2 linked regions of the Callithrix jacchus genome follow. The protein of the gene in region 1 interacts with the protein of each later gene in a pairwise test. Links are inferred from orthologs where the notes say so. Each region holds a gene or a part of one and is shown in the gene's direction. Other genes may lie near its edges.

What was found. The genes of interacting proteins can lie anywhere in the genome.
Region 2: the proteins of KLHL12 (region 1) and INMT interact in binary tests that used the Homo sapiens proteins (3 or more experiments, as listed by UniProt). The two-hybrid records come from large-scale screens. The link is inferred for Callithrix jacchus from reciprocal best matches to the Homo sapiens genes KLHL12 and INMT.

Annotation. Positions count from the first base shown.
Region 1 is NC_133520.1:29,930,906-29,938,328, reverse strand, and holds the end of KLHL12 (kelch-like protein 12), read left to right. Parts: intron 1-1,080; coding exon 1,081-1,187; intron 1,188-2,318; coding exon 2,319-2,514; exon of another isoform or gene 2,515-2,585; intron 2,586-3,284; coding exon 3,285-3,443; intron 3,444-3,729; exon of another isoform or gene 3,730-3,760; coding exon 3,761-3,859; exon of another isoform or gene 3,860-3,871; intron 3,872-4,171; exon of another isoform or gene 4,172-4,354; intron 4,355-4,601; coding exon 4,602-4,788; intron 4,789-5,344; coding exon 5,345-5,471; 3' UTR 5,472-6,907; downstream 6,908-7,423. UniProt on the Homo sapiens protein: Substrate-specific adapter of a BCR (BTB-CUL3-RBX1) E3 ubiquitin ligase complex that acts as a negative regulator of Wnt signaling pathway and ER-Golgi transport.
Region 2 is NC_133512.1:27,504,647-27,513,028, reverse strand, and holds INMT (indolethylamine N-methyltransferase), read left to right. Parts: upstream 1-2,964; 5' UTR 2,965-2,980; coding exon 2,981-3,134; intron 3,135-4,603; coding exon 4,604-4,811; intron 4,812-6,147; coding exon 6,148-6,571; 3' UTR 6,572-7,807; downstream 7,808-8,382. UniProt on the Homo sapiens protein: Functions as a thioether S-methyltransferase and is active with a variety of thioethers and the corresponding selenium and tellurium compounds, including 3-methylthiopropionaldehyde, dimethyl selenide, dimethyl telluride, 2-methylthioethylamine, 2-methylthioethanol, methyl-n-propyl sulfide and diethyl sulfide.

The DNA of each region.
Region 1 (7,423 bases):
AAAGCTCCAGCTACCTATTCTTTCCATGAGTTCTAGTGGAGCACACACATAGGGAATTTTCTCAAAGAGACTTTGCTCTTTGAAAAAAGCCAAGCTAGGTGCTGTGGCTCATACCTGTAATCCCAGCTACTTGGGAGGATAGAATATTGTTTGAGGCCAGGAGTTTAAGGCCAGCCTGGGCAATATAGTAAGACTCTCTCTCTAAAAAAAAAGAAGAAGAAAAAGAGCCAATGTAGGCAGTATTTTGTCAAAGTAAGGCCTTAGAGGGAAGGATAGGATATAAAGGCTGTCAGAATAGCTTCTTTGGGAAAATAGAGAAAAAGACTTTTCCTTTAAATCTCTAGTCATTTGTTGCCTGGTAGTTTTGATGAATAGGCAGGCAATGTGATCATATAGTTGACTAAATTGGAGAAGTAAATGTTCATGGAAAAGAGATTTTAGGCCAGGCACAGTGGCTCATTCCTGTAATCCCAACACTTTGGGAAACTGAGGTAGAAGAATCACTTGAGGCTAGGAATTTGAGATTAGCTTGAACATAGCAAGACTCTTTCTCAATTGAGAAAAAGAAAAAGAGATTTTAAGTCCATCACTTGGATCCTAAATTTCAACATGCAATTTTTTTTGTGACAAGGTTAGGAGAGTTCTTACTACATTACAACAACAAAAAACCTAATATTCTGCAGCAAGAGAAAATTAAAAAAAAAAAAAACCCTCCCAATTTGAGTTTGTCAGGCTGAGAAGTGCAGAGAGTGCCTTTAGCCTCTCACCTGCACTTAAGACCTCAAATATTATGTCAGTCAGTCATCTAACTGGGTTGAAATGGTACAGTGTCATGTTGAAGTTTGCCTTCTAGAGTTTTAATGTTGTACAGAAATTTAAGTTTCAGAGACTCAAGAGCTACAGCCTCAAGGAGAAATAACTCCCCATTCAACAGCCTCTTGATTATCTCCTATTTCAGATTGTATCCCTCAGCTACATAAAACAAGACATCCTAGAACTCTTTCTGTTTACACTTCCCTGTGACTAGTTATCTATCCAGGGATGCTGAACTAACCTATCTTTTCACTACCTTGTCTTCAGGAGCCAATGAAGTGCTTTTGGTGGTTGGGGGTTTCGGAAGCCAGCAGTCTCCTATCGACGTGGTAGAGAAATATGACCCCAAGACTCAGGAGTGGAGCTTTTTGCCGGTAAATAATGGTGAAACCATTTGTTGGGAGGGAGCTTAAATTCCTCAGTCTCTGGCTCCAGAGCATAGCTAATCCAACTGTAAGAGTAGAAAAGCCTAATAACAGGTTGTTTCTTACAGCAGTCTTGTGCACATAGTAGGTACTCAGTAAACAGTTTTTTTACTGTTTAGATTAGAAGATTATACCTTAGAAATGTTAGTGGCCCTGTGTCAGGTTAAATCAGATGGCCACCACTAGTTAGGTGCTTTTCTAAGCTGTCTTTATAATTCCCAGCACATTTCATTGGTCATGTTTTGTTAAAGTAAACCCAATGTTAAATTGTGTTGAATTGAACCCAGTGTTCAATTGAGCTCAGAAGTTTGGACAGAGCGTGGTAGCTCACACCTATAATCCCAGCACTTTGGGAGGCTGAGATGGGACGATCTCTTGAGGCCAGGAGTTCAAGACCAGCCTGGGCAGTATGGTGGAACTCTGTTTCTGCAAAAAAGTAAACAAAAAAATTAGCCAGGTGGTGCATGCCTGTAGTCCTAGCTGCTTGGGAGGTTGTGATAGAAGATTGCTTGAGCCCAGCAGTCAAGGTTGCAGTGAGCTGTGACTGTGCCACGCACTCCAACCTGGGTGACAGAGTGAGATCCCAACTCAGAAAAAAAAAGTTTGTATCTGTCTCCCTCAGCATGTCTCTCAGTGCTGAATGAACAATAGTAATTTCTGAGAAAACATGGAAATCCAATCCTCCTACCTTTTAAGGTTTTTATAATAAATCCTGGCCCTTTGATTAGCAATGTGGGAACACTTTTCCACTGTATGGAAGAATATCAGTCTCTTAGCCCAGTGCCTTATGGAAAAGAAAGGAGTCAGATACTGGATAACAGAAAGCTGTTAAATCTTTTGGAAACCTTGGAAAGAGGCAGATGTGCAGAAAGCTTACATCTTTAAGAGACCCACAACAAGCATTTCCTTCAGTAGGCAGCCATGGGTGGAGCCACTTGAGGATGAACCACTCAAGGAGGGTTCATGATGACAGGTGAAGCAGCACAGAGGTGTGTAGATACAACAGGGAAGATAGCAAAAGGAAAGGCCCGAAACTTACCTAACTGAAATGCTCTGTACCTCTTCTCTCCAAATCCATAGAGCATCACTCGTAAGAGACGTTATGTGGCCTCAGTGTCCCTACATGACCGGATCTACGTCATTGGTGGCTATGATGGCCGTTCCCGCCTTAGTTCAGTGGAATGTCTAGACTACACAGCAGATGAGGATGGGGTCTGGTATTCTGTGGCCCCTATGAATGTCCGACGAGGTCTTGCTGGAGCCACCACCCTGGGAGGTAGGCTTGATAAGCAGGGCAATATTTCCATCTTACTGTGGCTGGACCAGGTTTTTAACCTCTCATGTTTTCTGGCAGGAGCATGAAATATGGAGAAAAAAAATGAGGTCAAATATTATTATTATTTGAGACAGGGTCTCTCTCTGTTGCCCAGGCTGGAGTGCAGTGGCGTGACCACGGCTCACTACAGCCTCAACCTCCCCAAGCTCAAGCGATCCTCCCACCTCAGCTTCCCGAATAGCTGGAACTACAGGTGTGCACCATCATGCCCAGCTATTTTTATGTATTTTTAGTAGAGACAGGGTTTCGCCTTGTTGCCCAGGCTAATCTCTAACCCCTGAGCTCAAGTGACTCACCCGCCTTGGCCTCCCAAGGTGCTGAGATTACAGGTGTGAGCCGCTGCGCCCAGCCGACAAATACTCTTTTTGCTTTCAGACATATCAGTGTAATAGAAGCTGTTCAACCTTCATGGATGTTTCAGTACTGACTATAAAGTTCGCAAATCAAGTTCTAATGTGCTGGGTGGGGAACTGGCACTGGTTGTATTTTTTGAAAATTCCCAAGTGGTTTTTGAATGCTTCTGAGGATTTTAATTTACCCCATTCTTTTTAGATGTCTTTCTTGTCTGTAAAACTTAATTGACTTATCTCATTAAAAAATACTTTGTTTTTGCTTTCAGACTTTTAAAAGACACTTGAAAATTTTGTAGAGGAAAGAGTTCTAGAAATCTCTCATTCTCTAATAGTCTGTAATTTGTTTATTCTGAGCAGATATGATCTACGTCTCTGGAGGCTTTGATGGAAGCAGGCGTCACACCAGTATGGAGCGCTATGATCCAAATATTGACCAGTGGAGTATGCTGGGAGATATGCAGACAGCCCGGGAAGGTGCCGGGCTCGTAGTGGCCAGCGGAGTGATCTACTGTCTAGGTATCCTGAGTCTGCGATGCAGGAATGGGAGAGAACTCAATGGGTAGTAGATTGTGGGTAAGGGTTCCTTTTTAGCAGAATGAAGTTCATAGACTTCCCTTCAACTAAAACCCTGTTGTGTCAATGTATTTTCCATTAATTGGGATTATCATTTTCTTATAAGCAGAAAGTAGGATACTATCAGATTTCTGTTAGAGTTATTGGGACTCTAGTGGGAAGTTAAAACTAAAATAATTAGTTGAAGCACTCGGAAAAAGGCTGACCAGGAATAGGCATGAGGATTTACCACTCATCCTGCAGTGGTCTCTGTCTTCCAGGAGGATATGATGGCTTGAATATCTTAAATTCAGTTGAGAAATACGACCCTCATACAGGACATTGGACTACTGTTACACCAATGGCCACCAAGCGTTCCGGTAAGATCAGATCTGAGGGAGGAGACAATAGGCAGTGCTGTCAGACCTTTACATATATAGTAGTGATGCATGGGACAAACTGTAGATGAATGTAAAAATGAGATTCTGCTCCTCGTCTCTGCTTTCTCTAAATATTAGGATAAAGACAGTTTATATTTAAAACTAGATTATAAATTTGAAAGCAAAAGCCTTCATGTCTTTGTTCTCTCCCTACGTTTTAGAATGCTACAATTTTGTCTGTGTAGCACATGTTAAATAAATGTTTGTTAAATAACGTCTCTAATGTATAAGAACAAAAGAGTAGCACCTTACCTTCACGAGAGCTTTTTGAAGTGGAGTAGGCTGAGATGTAGAAAAGGAGAAAACACTGTGCTGTTCTAGTTTACATATTCTGAGTAAAAATCGCTTCAGAACCATAATCACAGTTCCTTTCCCTCCATCTACCTTTATTGCTGCCTTTCTTTCACTTCCTCCTTTTCTGAGAAGGGTGGGGCTCTGAGTTAATGAGAGTAAAGAAGAAAAGATAAATTTCTATTTATCTTTTATCATTTCAAATCCAAGCCAAAGGGTTTATAGATGGAATAACTTGTGCTGGACTAGATTATCCTAGCCTTGTCTAGGTCCAGTCCATATCTCTTATCTACTCTAGAACTCAGCTAGCCATTAGTGACCATAGTTTATTTCTATAACTCAGATTCTAGGCTTAGTACCATTCATTTGCTAATGCCTTCATTTTCCCCAGGTGCAGGAGTAGCACTGCTGAATGACCATATTTATGTGGTGGGGGGATTTGATGGTACAGCCCACCTTTCTTCCGTTGAAGCATACAACATTCGCACTGATTCCTGGACAACTGTCACCAGTATGACCACTCCACGATGCTATGTAGGGGCCACAGTGCTTCGGGGGAGACTTTATGCAATTGCAGGGTGAGGATTTAAACAACTCCAGACTCAGTATGTAACCAGAGCAACAGTCTGTGTGATCTGATCCTTATTTTTGGATGGAGACAACATTTGGGTAGGGGTAGACATCTCCAGTAGCAACTTGATTTTTTTAAATTAGATTTTTTTTTTTTTTTTAGAGACAGAGTCTTTCTCTGTCACCCAGGCTGGAGTCTGAGTAGAGTAGCTGGGACCACGGGTGCATGCCACTGTACCAGGCTAGTTTTTTATGTTGTCTAGGCTGATTTCAAGCAATCCTCCCACCTCAGCCTCCCAAAGTGTTAGGATTACAGGCGTGAGTCACCATGCTGGCCTCCAGTGGCAGCCTTAAGGAAGAACTCGTGTGGAAAAGAATAGAAGGCTAATTTCTTTCTTTAAATTTAATTGAGACAGGGTCTTACCATTTTGCCCAGGCTGGTCTCAAATTCCCTCCTAGGCTTAAGCAGTCCTCTTACCTCAGCCTCCCTCATAGTTGGGATTAAAGGCATGTGCCACTGCACATAGCTGATTCATTTTTTTCTTTTGCTGCTTTCTCACTCAGATATGATGGTAATTCCCTGCTAAGTAGTATTGAATGTTATGACCCTATCATCGACAGCTGGGAAGTCGTGACATCCATGGGAACCCAGCGCTGTGATGCTGGTGTGTGTGTTCTCCGTGAGAAGTGACCATTGTTGGAGCACCATCCAGAACTAGTGACCAGTCTGGTGGACAGTTAGTGGGAGAATCAAGAATCCTTTCCAGAATGTCTGTTTCTCACTATGAACAGGGTGATTACAGGCACCAGTGCAGTGATGATTGTACTTATTTGACATATATTCCGCCTTGTCCTGGTTATTGTTCCTGAGAAGGGTGGCCAGCAGATACTCCAGGGAAAAGAATGCAGATTGAATGGATGTGAGAGACCAGATCGCCTCTCCCACTGCCTTGGGGAGCACTTTCCTTTCGTTTCTAACTTACCACATGCTCAGTGTACTATATGTATGTTGTGCCTCATATGTTGCAGAGAACGAAGGTGAGTATAGCCTACTAGATGTGGGCAATATCCAGCCTAGATGATTGGAAAGGTACCAGTTTAAGTAAACTTGGTAAAATCCAAGTCTTTTTTTTTTTTTTTCCAAGAAAAGATACCTTTTCTAATCTACAGGTAGCTGGAGGCAACACAGTTCCATTCTAGAAGGAAACAGAAGGGAGAGCCCCATAAAACTTTGGGGGCAAGGGAGAGAGACTCATCGGACACTTCTTGTGGGGGATATGGTTGGTATATCAGAATTTAAGTTAGAATAAGTGAATCAACTGAATTTGATGGATTGTGAGTGAACCTAGAACAGCACTGAAGTATTACATAATCTGGAAGACTGAGAAGGGTATATCATTTGAAGGATCTTTTTATTTCCCCAAGGTCTTTCTGAAGTAGAATGTTACACATTTTAGCACTGGAGGCAGCATAACAGTGAACAAATGTTGGGATGAGAGAAGATGGCATCAATGTGCAAGTTCAGTATAACTGGGGATAAACTAGAAGTACCTGTGATTCTACGGTCTTATTCCCTGCCAGGGCTCATCTAGCCATGGCAATGTTTGCCTTGAATGGGGGTGAAAGCCTTTCTTTGTTGAATCAAATACTACTACACTGTTACACTTCCACACTATTTATTTGGGGATGGGCTGGGAGTGACAGTAGCCCAGTAGTTTAGCTACCTGATTACTGCCCATTCTTTTAGGAGTACACTTCTGCCAAGGAGTGGTTTGTACTGCTGTGTTTGGTACATTTAGTCTTTTTTCTGCTATAAGTTTCCCTTGTCTGTCCTTTAGTGTAGATTTTATTCATCACAGGACAGAATAATCAAGGACAACCAAAATCCTTTTGTCAGTTTCAGTACCTCAGCTATCAACATTTCTGAGCTATTATTTAATGTTGCTCTATGTCATGGAATGAAATTCTTGTTTTATGGATATTGAAATTTTATGGGAGTGTGGGAATGTGATAAACAACCTTTGCTCTGAAATTCCATTTTTCCCTTTTTCCCTGAATCGTATTGACCTACAGAGTTAATTTCCTTTGTATTTTTTTAAGAAAATATTAAAAATTAACAGTCTCAAATGCTGAGAGTTTGTGGTTAACCAGCATTGCCTTTAGCAGATACTTAGGGTTCAGCTGTGACCCCTGTGTCGTCAGCCTGTTCATCTTGTGTGTTTGCCAACTAGTTCTGCTATTTCTCTGTTAGACACAGGTAAGAGGCAGCCACTTTACACTATGGAGATTCTCATCAGTAAAATATTTACCTGATTTGCCGTATTCATTAGCCCCTCTCATGCTTGGAGTTACTTGAAAACCAAAGGAGTAAAGAAGAGATGTCTTGAATTCACTTAGCATCCACTTCAATTTTAGGGTTTCAGTCATGCCAGGCCTTTTTTCCATTTGCTTTGAATGATGGCATGTGATATTAACAGCTATGCAGAAGGCCTGCAAAACTGCAACAATCCTGATGCTTCCAGAACAGAAGGAAGGAGAAGCCACAGGAGGAAGTTATTTTCCCTAAAGATGCCTGCCAACTTTGGCAGATGGATTGCGCCTGCTAATTAAACCACAGCCTATAAAACATGTGGCTCTTCCTAT
Region 2 (8,382 bases), on another chromosome or scaffold:
TTTGGATTCATTCCTCTGGGGAGCAGGAGGCACTGGAGGCCTTGCATTAGGAAAGGCATCCTCTGTCCATCCAAGGACATCCAATTGCAGCAGGATGTGTAGTTCTGGGAAGGATGGTCTCTCCCAACCCTGTACAGACCCCTAGCTGCCCACGTCCTGCTGCAGGGGCTCTGTAATCCTGGATAGTACATGCATGTCTATGGTTCAGCCCCTTCAGTGTTAATGCTGGGCTTCTTCCATGTGCTTCCATTATCTGCTCTATATCCTCTCCAGGCTACTTCAAGTGCCAGGAGGCTAACATGTGGACTATAGTCACCACTCCCTTCCTTGTAAATTTGGCAGGTTATTGGAGGGAGGTAAGAGAAGGAGGTTTGGGTGATTATTCTTCAGCTACTGTATTAGTTGTTTTTCATACTGCTAATAAAGACATACCCAAGACTGGGTACTTTATGCAGGAAGAAGGTTTAATGGACTCACTGTTCCACATGGCTGGGGAGGCCTCACAATCATGACTGAAGGCAAGGAGGAGCAAGTCACGTCTTACATGGATGGCAACAGGTGAAAAGAGAGCTTGTGCAGGGAAACTCCCCCTTAGAAAACCATCAGATAGCACAAGACTTATTCACTCTCATGAGAACAGCATGGGAAAGACCTGCCCCCACGGTTCAATTATTCCTACCTGGCCCCTCCCACAACCCATGGGAACTGTGGGAGGTACAATTCAAGATGAGATTTGGGTGGGGATACAACCAAACCATATCAGCCCCTTTGCTGTTGGCTGCTGCAGGAGGCCCTCTCTACACAGCTCTGTCTCTCTCTCAGTCTTGCTGGGATGATGGCTCCTCCATGCTGTGAGCCCTCAGGTTCTGTGATGGTGCCTTCTGTGACTCAACGTGGCTAGGCCTTGGTGCCTAGACAGGTGGTCAGTCATGATCCTGGCTGTTTGTTTGAGGGTGCTTTTGGATGAGATTCACATTTAAATCAGTGGACTTTGAGTAAAGCAGACTGCCCTCCATAATATGGGTGGGCCTCATCCAATCAGCTGATGGCTCAATTAGAACAAGACTGGCCTTCCCTGAGCAAGAGGGAATTCTGGCAGCAGCTGGTCTTTGGACTTGAACTGCAACATTGGCTTTCAGATTTTGGACTTACTGGCCTCCAAGATTACACGAGCCAATTCCTGAAAATAGATTTGATTTCTCTCAGTGTAAGTGTACACATCCTGGGCTCTGTTTCTCTGGAGAACCCTGACTAATAGAGGTATCATGTGGCTTCCTTCCACCCTGTCCACACCTTAGTTAGTACTGTGCCTTTACTGCATACTCCTCCAATTATGTAACGCGAGCACTGCAGTTTCCTGCCTGCTCTGAGTGCCTTCTGCAGGCCAGCATGTTGGCCGCAGGCCTCCCTGGAGGCTGCCCAGGCGCCTGCTCCTTGGAAGCCAGACCCCAGATGACTGCTGGATGTTCCTGCCTCTGTGGCATCCTCTGTCTTTTGGGCCCTGTGGATTCAGAATTATTTGTTTACTTAAAGCCAGAACAAGGCATTCCTGTCCTTCCCACTTTCAGGGCAAGAGGCCTGAACCTCCACTGTAGCAGATTCATTTCTATCTGGTTTGTGGCCAAGTCAGAGCCATTTCCTAGTGCAAAAAACAGAGACTGAGCTTTTCTCTGTCTGTGGGAGATTTTACAACCCAGCCCCATTTCTAAGAGAAGGAGACTGAAGCCAGCAGTATCTTACCTGAACTTACCAGGTGAGTCAGCAGCCAAGAAGTCAGGATCCCCCTGATAGTTTATGCTTTATGACCGGGCGCCCTTGTTCTCATTCATGGAGATGGATGATAATTTCTGCTCTTCTCCCAGTGGCCTGCACAGTGATGCCAAGTCAGCTATTCTGCTCTGCCTCCTGGGGTCTGAACTCTGTTCTCCAGGAGGGATGGGGGATGTATGAAGCTGTACCTACTGCCTGGCCTAGAGAGAGCCACTGGTCCACTGACCACCGGGGGACAAGCTGGGGATCTCACTGTGCCTGCCTGGCCTAGAGAGAGCCACTGGTCCACTGACCACCAGGGGACAAGCTGGGGATCTCACTGTGCCTGCCTGGCCTAGAGAGAGCCACTGGGCCACTGACCACCAGGGGACAAGCTGGGGATCTCACTGTGCCTGCCTGGCCTAGAGAGAGCCACTGGGCCACTGACCACCAGGGGACAAGCTGGGGATCTCACTGTGCCTGCCTGGCCTAGAGAGAGCCACTGGGCCACTGACCACCAGGGGATAAGCTGGGGATCTCACTGTGCCTGCCTGGCCTAGAGAGAGCCACTGGGCCACTGACCACCAGGGGACAAGCTGGGGATCTCACTGTGCCTGCCTGGCCTAGAGAGAGCCACTGGGCCACTGACCACCAGGGCATAAGCTGGGGATCTCACTGTGCCTGCCTGGCCTAGAGAGAGCCACTGGGCCACTGACCACCAGGGGACAAGCTGGGGATCTCACTGTGCCTGCCTGGCCTAGAGAGAGCCACTGGGCCACTGACCACCAGGGGACAAGCTGGGGATCTCACTATGTACTCAGGTCACAATACCTGTGACTGGGGGAGTGGCTTTGGTTCTCACAGTCAGTGAAGTGGGCACATAGGTGGGGAAACGTGGGTCTGACACCTGCTGGAGGCCACACAGCAGCATGTGGCTGGCAGGACTGAGAGTTGCACCCAGGGCTGGGCACCATCAATTGCCTTTGATGGACATGGGTTGGTCCCTAGAGAAAGCAGGGCCAGGGCGGCTGCAGCCCCAGCTCAGGTGTGTCAGTGTGGCTGGGAGGTGGTGAGGGATGCACTCCCTTCTGTATCCTCCTAGAAGGAGAAGCTTGAGAGACATACATGGGAGGAGTGATGGGATGAGGCTGGAATGTTGGAGGTGGAGCCTGGAGAGCTTGGAGCCCTCATAAGACCGGACAGGCAGGAGGGGGCATATTTCAGGGCCACCATGGAGGGCGGCTTCACGGGAGGTGATGAGTATCAGAAGCACTTCCTGCCCAGGGACTACTTGGCCACTTACTATAGCGTCGATGGCAGCCACTTGCCTGAGATCGAGATGCTGAAGTTTTACTTGGAGTGTCTCCACAAGACCTTCGGCCCTGGTGAGCAGAGGGTGGCTTTTCCCCTTGAGCCTCTCTCCAAGAAACCTGGATGCGGATGGGGACAAGGGGTCCTGGGGGCAGTCTGGTCTCCTCTAGAGGTTGCTGGGGGTGGGCTGGGGGAGCTGCTGGGGACCTGTCCCTCTCTTTGGGTAGCTGCTATGCTGGAGGTTGGGTCTGTTTCCCCATGGCTCAGGAGCTGTGTGCCAGCTGAGGGATCAGGATCCATGGGAAGAGCACAGCCCATGCAGTTCCCACACTGTTCTCCATTAGCCCCTAGGTCTTTGGGGTGGAGCAGAAAAGGGTTTCCAGGTCATCATCAAGTTCAGCCCTGCCCTTACATAGCCAGCCCTCTGGGGCCCCCAGAAGGCCAGGGGCAAACAGCAGGACTGTAGTGGGTTAGGTCAGGATTGCCTATTCCTATAGTGTGCAGCCCAGATGTGGCTGTGATGAGGACCTGGAAAAGCCCTGCCCTGGGACAAGGATTGTTACATGGGGTCTCAACCCTATTACAAACCTGACTGCAAAGCCCTCAGGTCCCAAGGACCTAAACTGAGACATCTGTACAATGGATGGTGACTTCTACCTGTCTCCTGGTGATCTCTTCCCTCCCCACGGTGACCCCATGATTTGGTGTGTCTTCCAAGCTCAAGCAGCCATGTCCTCACTTCAGGCACTTGAATGGGTAACAGTAAGGGTGAGTCTCCTGGTGGTCTGTGGGATAAGGAGGGTTAAAATGTTGCTGAGCCTAGAGGAGCAGGCCAGTGTGGGAGGCAGAAATCAGAGAACAGCCAGACTGGGTGTGATCAAGCCTGGAAGGCCAAGTGATGGCCCCACGCCAGGGCTCCAGACAGAATGTTGGAAATCATGCTTCGTTCCAGCTTCCAGGTGACCCTGGATTTACTCCTGAGGCCATCTTCCCAGATCGTCTCCTTCTCAGCCTCCTGCTTCCTATTCCTGTGCTCTTACACCCCTCCCACCTCCAAGGAATGAGAAACCCATCCAGGCAGGGCTGGACTTCCCGGGGATGCTCCTAGCTCCCAGTCAGCCTGAAACTTAAAGGGCCACTGCCCCCAGCATGTCCTCTCTAATCTCTCCAGCCCGAATCTTCTCTAGAGCAGGGCTTGGGTCTCTTTTCTCTGTCCCAGAAAGATTATACTCTTGGCTTATATTCTTGGCTGAAAGATATTGGGCAAATTGTTTAACCCTTTTCAGACTCAGTTTTCTAATTTATAAAATGAAAATAGTGATAGTAGTTACTACACAGGGTAGTTCTGAGGTGTAAATGGAAATAAATGCATATAAAATGTTTAGCATGAGGCTTGGCCTACAGGAAGCCACCAATCTGTGATAATGACCATTCTTGGTGCTGCTTGCCCCTTGGGTAAGACCAGGGTGTGTGTCCTCATCCCTGTGTCTGTCTCGGGTCTCATTTCTCTTACCCATCCCTTACCAGTCTTTCCTTCCCACAGGAGGCCTCCAAGGGGACACGCTGATTGACATCGGCTCAGGTCCTACCATCTACCAAGTTCTCGCAGCCTGTGAGTCCTTCCAAGACATCACTCTCTCTGACTTTACCGACCGTAACCGGGAGGAGCTGGAAAAATGGCTGAAGAAGGAGCCGGGGGCCTATGACTGGACCCCAGTGGTGAAATTTGCCTGTGAGCTCGAAGGAAACAGGTAGGGGTGCAGAGGTTGGGGAGGGGTTCCCAGACCTTCTTTCTCAGAGGGCTGTCTGGCCTCTTGGTTGTCTCTGACATTTTCAGGACAGTAGGGCCTTCATGTATATGACCAGAGGTCTTGCTGTGGGGACAGAGTAGATGGGCCCCCAAGTTTCAGGATTACAGGAGTTTCAGGGGCAAGTCTCTGATCATAGGACTATGTTGAGGTATGATATAGCCAAGTATGAGCACTGAAGACCAGGTGATAGAACCCTTCCTTCCTTCTTCTCTTTCTTCCTTTCCCTAATCTATATACCTACCTATCTTGTATATATCTAACTATCCATCCATATCCATCCATCTATGCACCCACCCACCAATCCATCCATTCACCCAGCCAGCCAGGCAGCTATTCGCCCATCCATCCATTTGTCCATTCATCCATCCATCTCCATCCATCATCCATCCACCCACCCACCTATCCATATCTGTCAATCTACCTGCCCATCCATTCATCCATTCATCCATCCATCCATCCATTTATTCATATCCATCCATCCATCTATCCATCCATCTCCATCCATCCATATCCATCTATCCATCCACCCATTTATCCATCCATGTCCATGCAAATTAATCCATCCACCCACCCATCCATTCTTCCTTCTTCCCTCTATTGTCTGTACCTGTGTGACTATATGACATATAATGATGTGAACCCACCACCCAACCTGAGTACTCGGATATAATAAAGACTTACCTGTGCTTCTCTGTGACTCCTTGCCCCTGCCTTTTGCCATCTGAGGTAATCACTAATATGAATTTTATACTTATTCCCTTTTTCAAACAATTTTTTTCTTGCATACTTATGTATATCTAAATAGTCTATTATTTAGTTTTAGTCACCTTTGAGCTTTGTAGCAGAATAATTTGCCCTGTGTCATCTGGGATTTGCTTTTCATCACTCAACATTATATTTTTAAGATCGCTATATTCATGTATTTTCTGTAGAAATTCATTAATTCATCCATCCATCCAATAGTGTTTGTTAACTGACCCATCTGTGCTTGGGGTGGTTTTGACCCTTCTGGGGATTAAGGGAAGGGGGCTCACATGAAATCAGAGAGAGAAAATTTCCTTTAATTGTTCTGGTCCACTCTTGGTAACCAGTTTTCTTTGGAAGAAACTGAGGATCAGATCGAAGAAGAGCCTGCTGTCAGGTCACACAGGGACTCAGGGACAGCAGTCCTTTTGGGATTCAGAGATCATCTCCATCTGCTAGTCGCAGTGGACTAGTCAAGGTTCCCTTTGGAACCTTGAAGTGCCTCCCCGACTCCCTCCCTCTCTCTCTGCAGTGGCCGATGGCAGGAGAAAGAGGAGAAGCTGCGAGCAGTGGTGAAGCGGGTGCTCAAATGTGATGTCCACCTGGGCAACCCACTGGCCCCAGCTGTGTTGCCCCCTGCTGACTGCCTGCTCACCCTTCTGGCCATGGAGTGTGCCTGCTGCAGCCTTGATGCCTACCGTGCTGCACTTTGCAACCTTGCCTCACTGCTCAAGCCGGGCGGCCACTTGGTGACCATGGTCACGCTTCGGCTCTCGTCCTACATGGTGGGGAAGCGTGAATTCTCCTGCTTGGCCCTGGAGAAGGAGGAGGTGGAGCACGCTGTCCTGGATGCTGGCTTTGACATCGAGCAGCTCCTATATAGTCTCCGGAGCTACTCTGTCACCAGTGCTGCCAACACTGGAGTCTGCTTCATTGTGGCTTGCAAGAAGCCCTGAGCCAGGAGGGCCAGCCAGAGGTCTGGCCAGGCTGTGAGGCCTTGACCATCTGTATGCCAGAGAGGGGTGAGGAATGGATACTAACAGCCCCTGCTTTCAACACTAACAATCCATCTTCTGAAATTCTGAGATTCTAACATCCTTGTTTTAGAATTCTAAGTTTCTAACATTCCTCATTCTAGTATCCCAGGAGTGGAATTTTCCATTTTCTAATATACTAAGGCTTACAGCTACCTTAGATGTGATCTGACTCCTGTGTGACTGTGGAGCCCCCAGGGCTGTGGTTTCAGAGTCTGCCTAGTATGTTAAGGACAAGGAAACCTCTAGACAGTGGCATATTGGGGACTGTTTCATAACCAACTCCATAAAGGAAGAGCACTCAGGTATAGCAGTCACCGATTTCTGTGGTGTAAACGCTCCCACAATGGTTGGTTTCAAGCGACCAGTGGTTTAATGACCTGCTCATAAATCTCCTAAACATTTTACAGTTGACTCTCATGAGGTGATCTGAGTCAGCTGGAATACAACACTTCCTCTAGACTAAGGTCAGCAGATTTAGCAAATAAAAATACAGACTGCCCAGTTCATTGAATTTTAGATACATAAAATAAATTTTTAAGGCTAAGTATGTCCCCAGAATTGCATGGAACATGCTTATCCTACACAATGATTTGTGGTTCACCTGAAATTCAAATTTAGCTGGCTGTCCTGTATTTCATCTGTCAGCCCTACTTCAGTAAGGTACATGGATGAGCTTTGGTCAAGGAATAGGCGGAGATGGGTATCCAGGCCTGCATGACTCATTGGGTTTGGTGCACGGGTGCACACCTCTACTTGTTATATAACCTTTTTGTGTAAATTCATACTTGGCTCTGAGCCACTGTTGTCTGTAAAAGGTATACTTGTTGTGCTAACACTAGATAGGGGGGCTCTTGGAGCTCGGCTCGGCTCAACATGGCTTGACATGGCAGGTGCGCTGGTGCCCAGAGAGAGAGCCAAAGCTGTCCATCTTGCAAATGGACAGGAGGGAGCCAGGACACAGCTCAGCTTGCCTGTGCCCAGAGAGAGAAAGAGTTAAGCTGCTGACCCTGAAGGCAAGGGAGAGTCGGCTGCACAGCTGTGTGTGGGAGCCGCAGGCTCAAGCGGCTGAGACAGGGTAGACCGCGTGAGAGAGCTAGTGCGAGTAAGCTGCTGATGAGAGCGGTCACTGAATAAAACCATATTCACCTGCCTATAGCTCCCGAATGTTCTTTCTGCCCATCTACCCACTCCCCTCGGATTTCAGCATGGGCTGGACCTGGACCCCAGGACCTGACGCCAAGTGAGAAGAGGAGCAGCCCAGGGATCAAGGCTGTCCCTGGTACATGAGGTGCCTTTGTGCAAATTAGGAAGAGGTGCTCCTGCAGGTGGACACATTGCAGAAAGAAGTGTTCAGGGCTGATTAATTGATAAATGCTGTTCCATCTCCCCAAGGAAGGGCTATGAGAACAAGGTACCTCTTCTGGGGAGACTAATTAAAGAAAGGTGTCCCTTCCTTAAGGCTGATTGGGTCACACCCCTGAGCACCTGCCAGCCTCCCTTTCTCCCTCAACCCCAACCTATGCCTTTCTGTGGGTACACCCTGGGCACAGCAACCTTGATAGGAGCCAGGAGACCTGGAATCTAGTCTCAGCCCTGCCACTTATTTGCTAGGTTTCACTTCTCTGGGCCTCATATTCCTATCCATGAGATTTAATCTAATAATCTACAGGAACAGTATTATTTTGAAATTCCATTTTACAGGTGAGGAAACTGAGGCACAGACTTTCTCA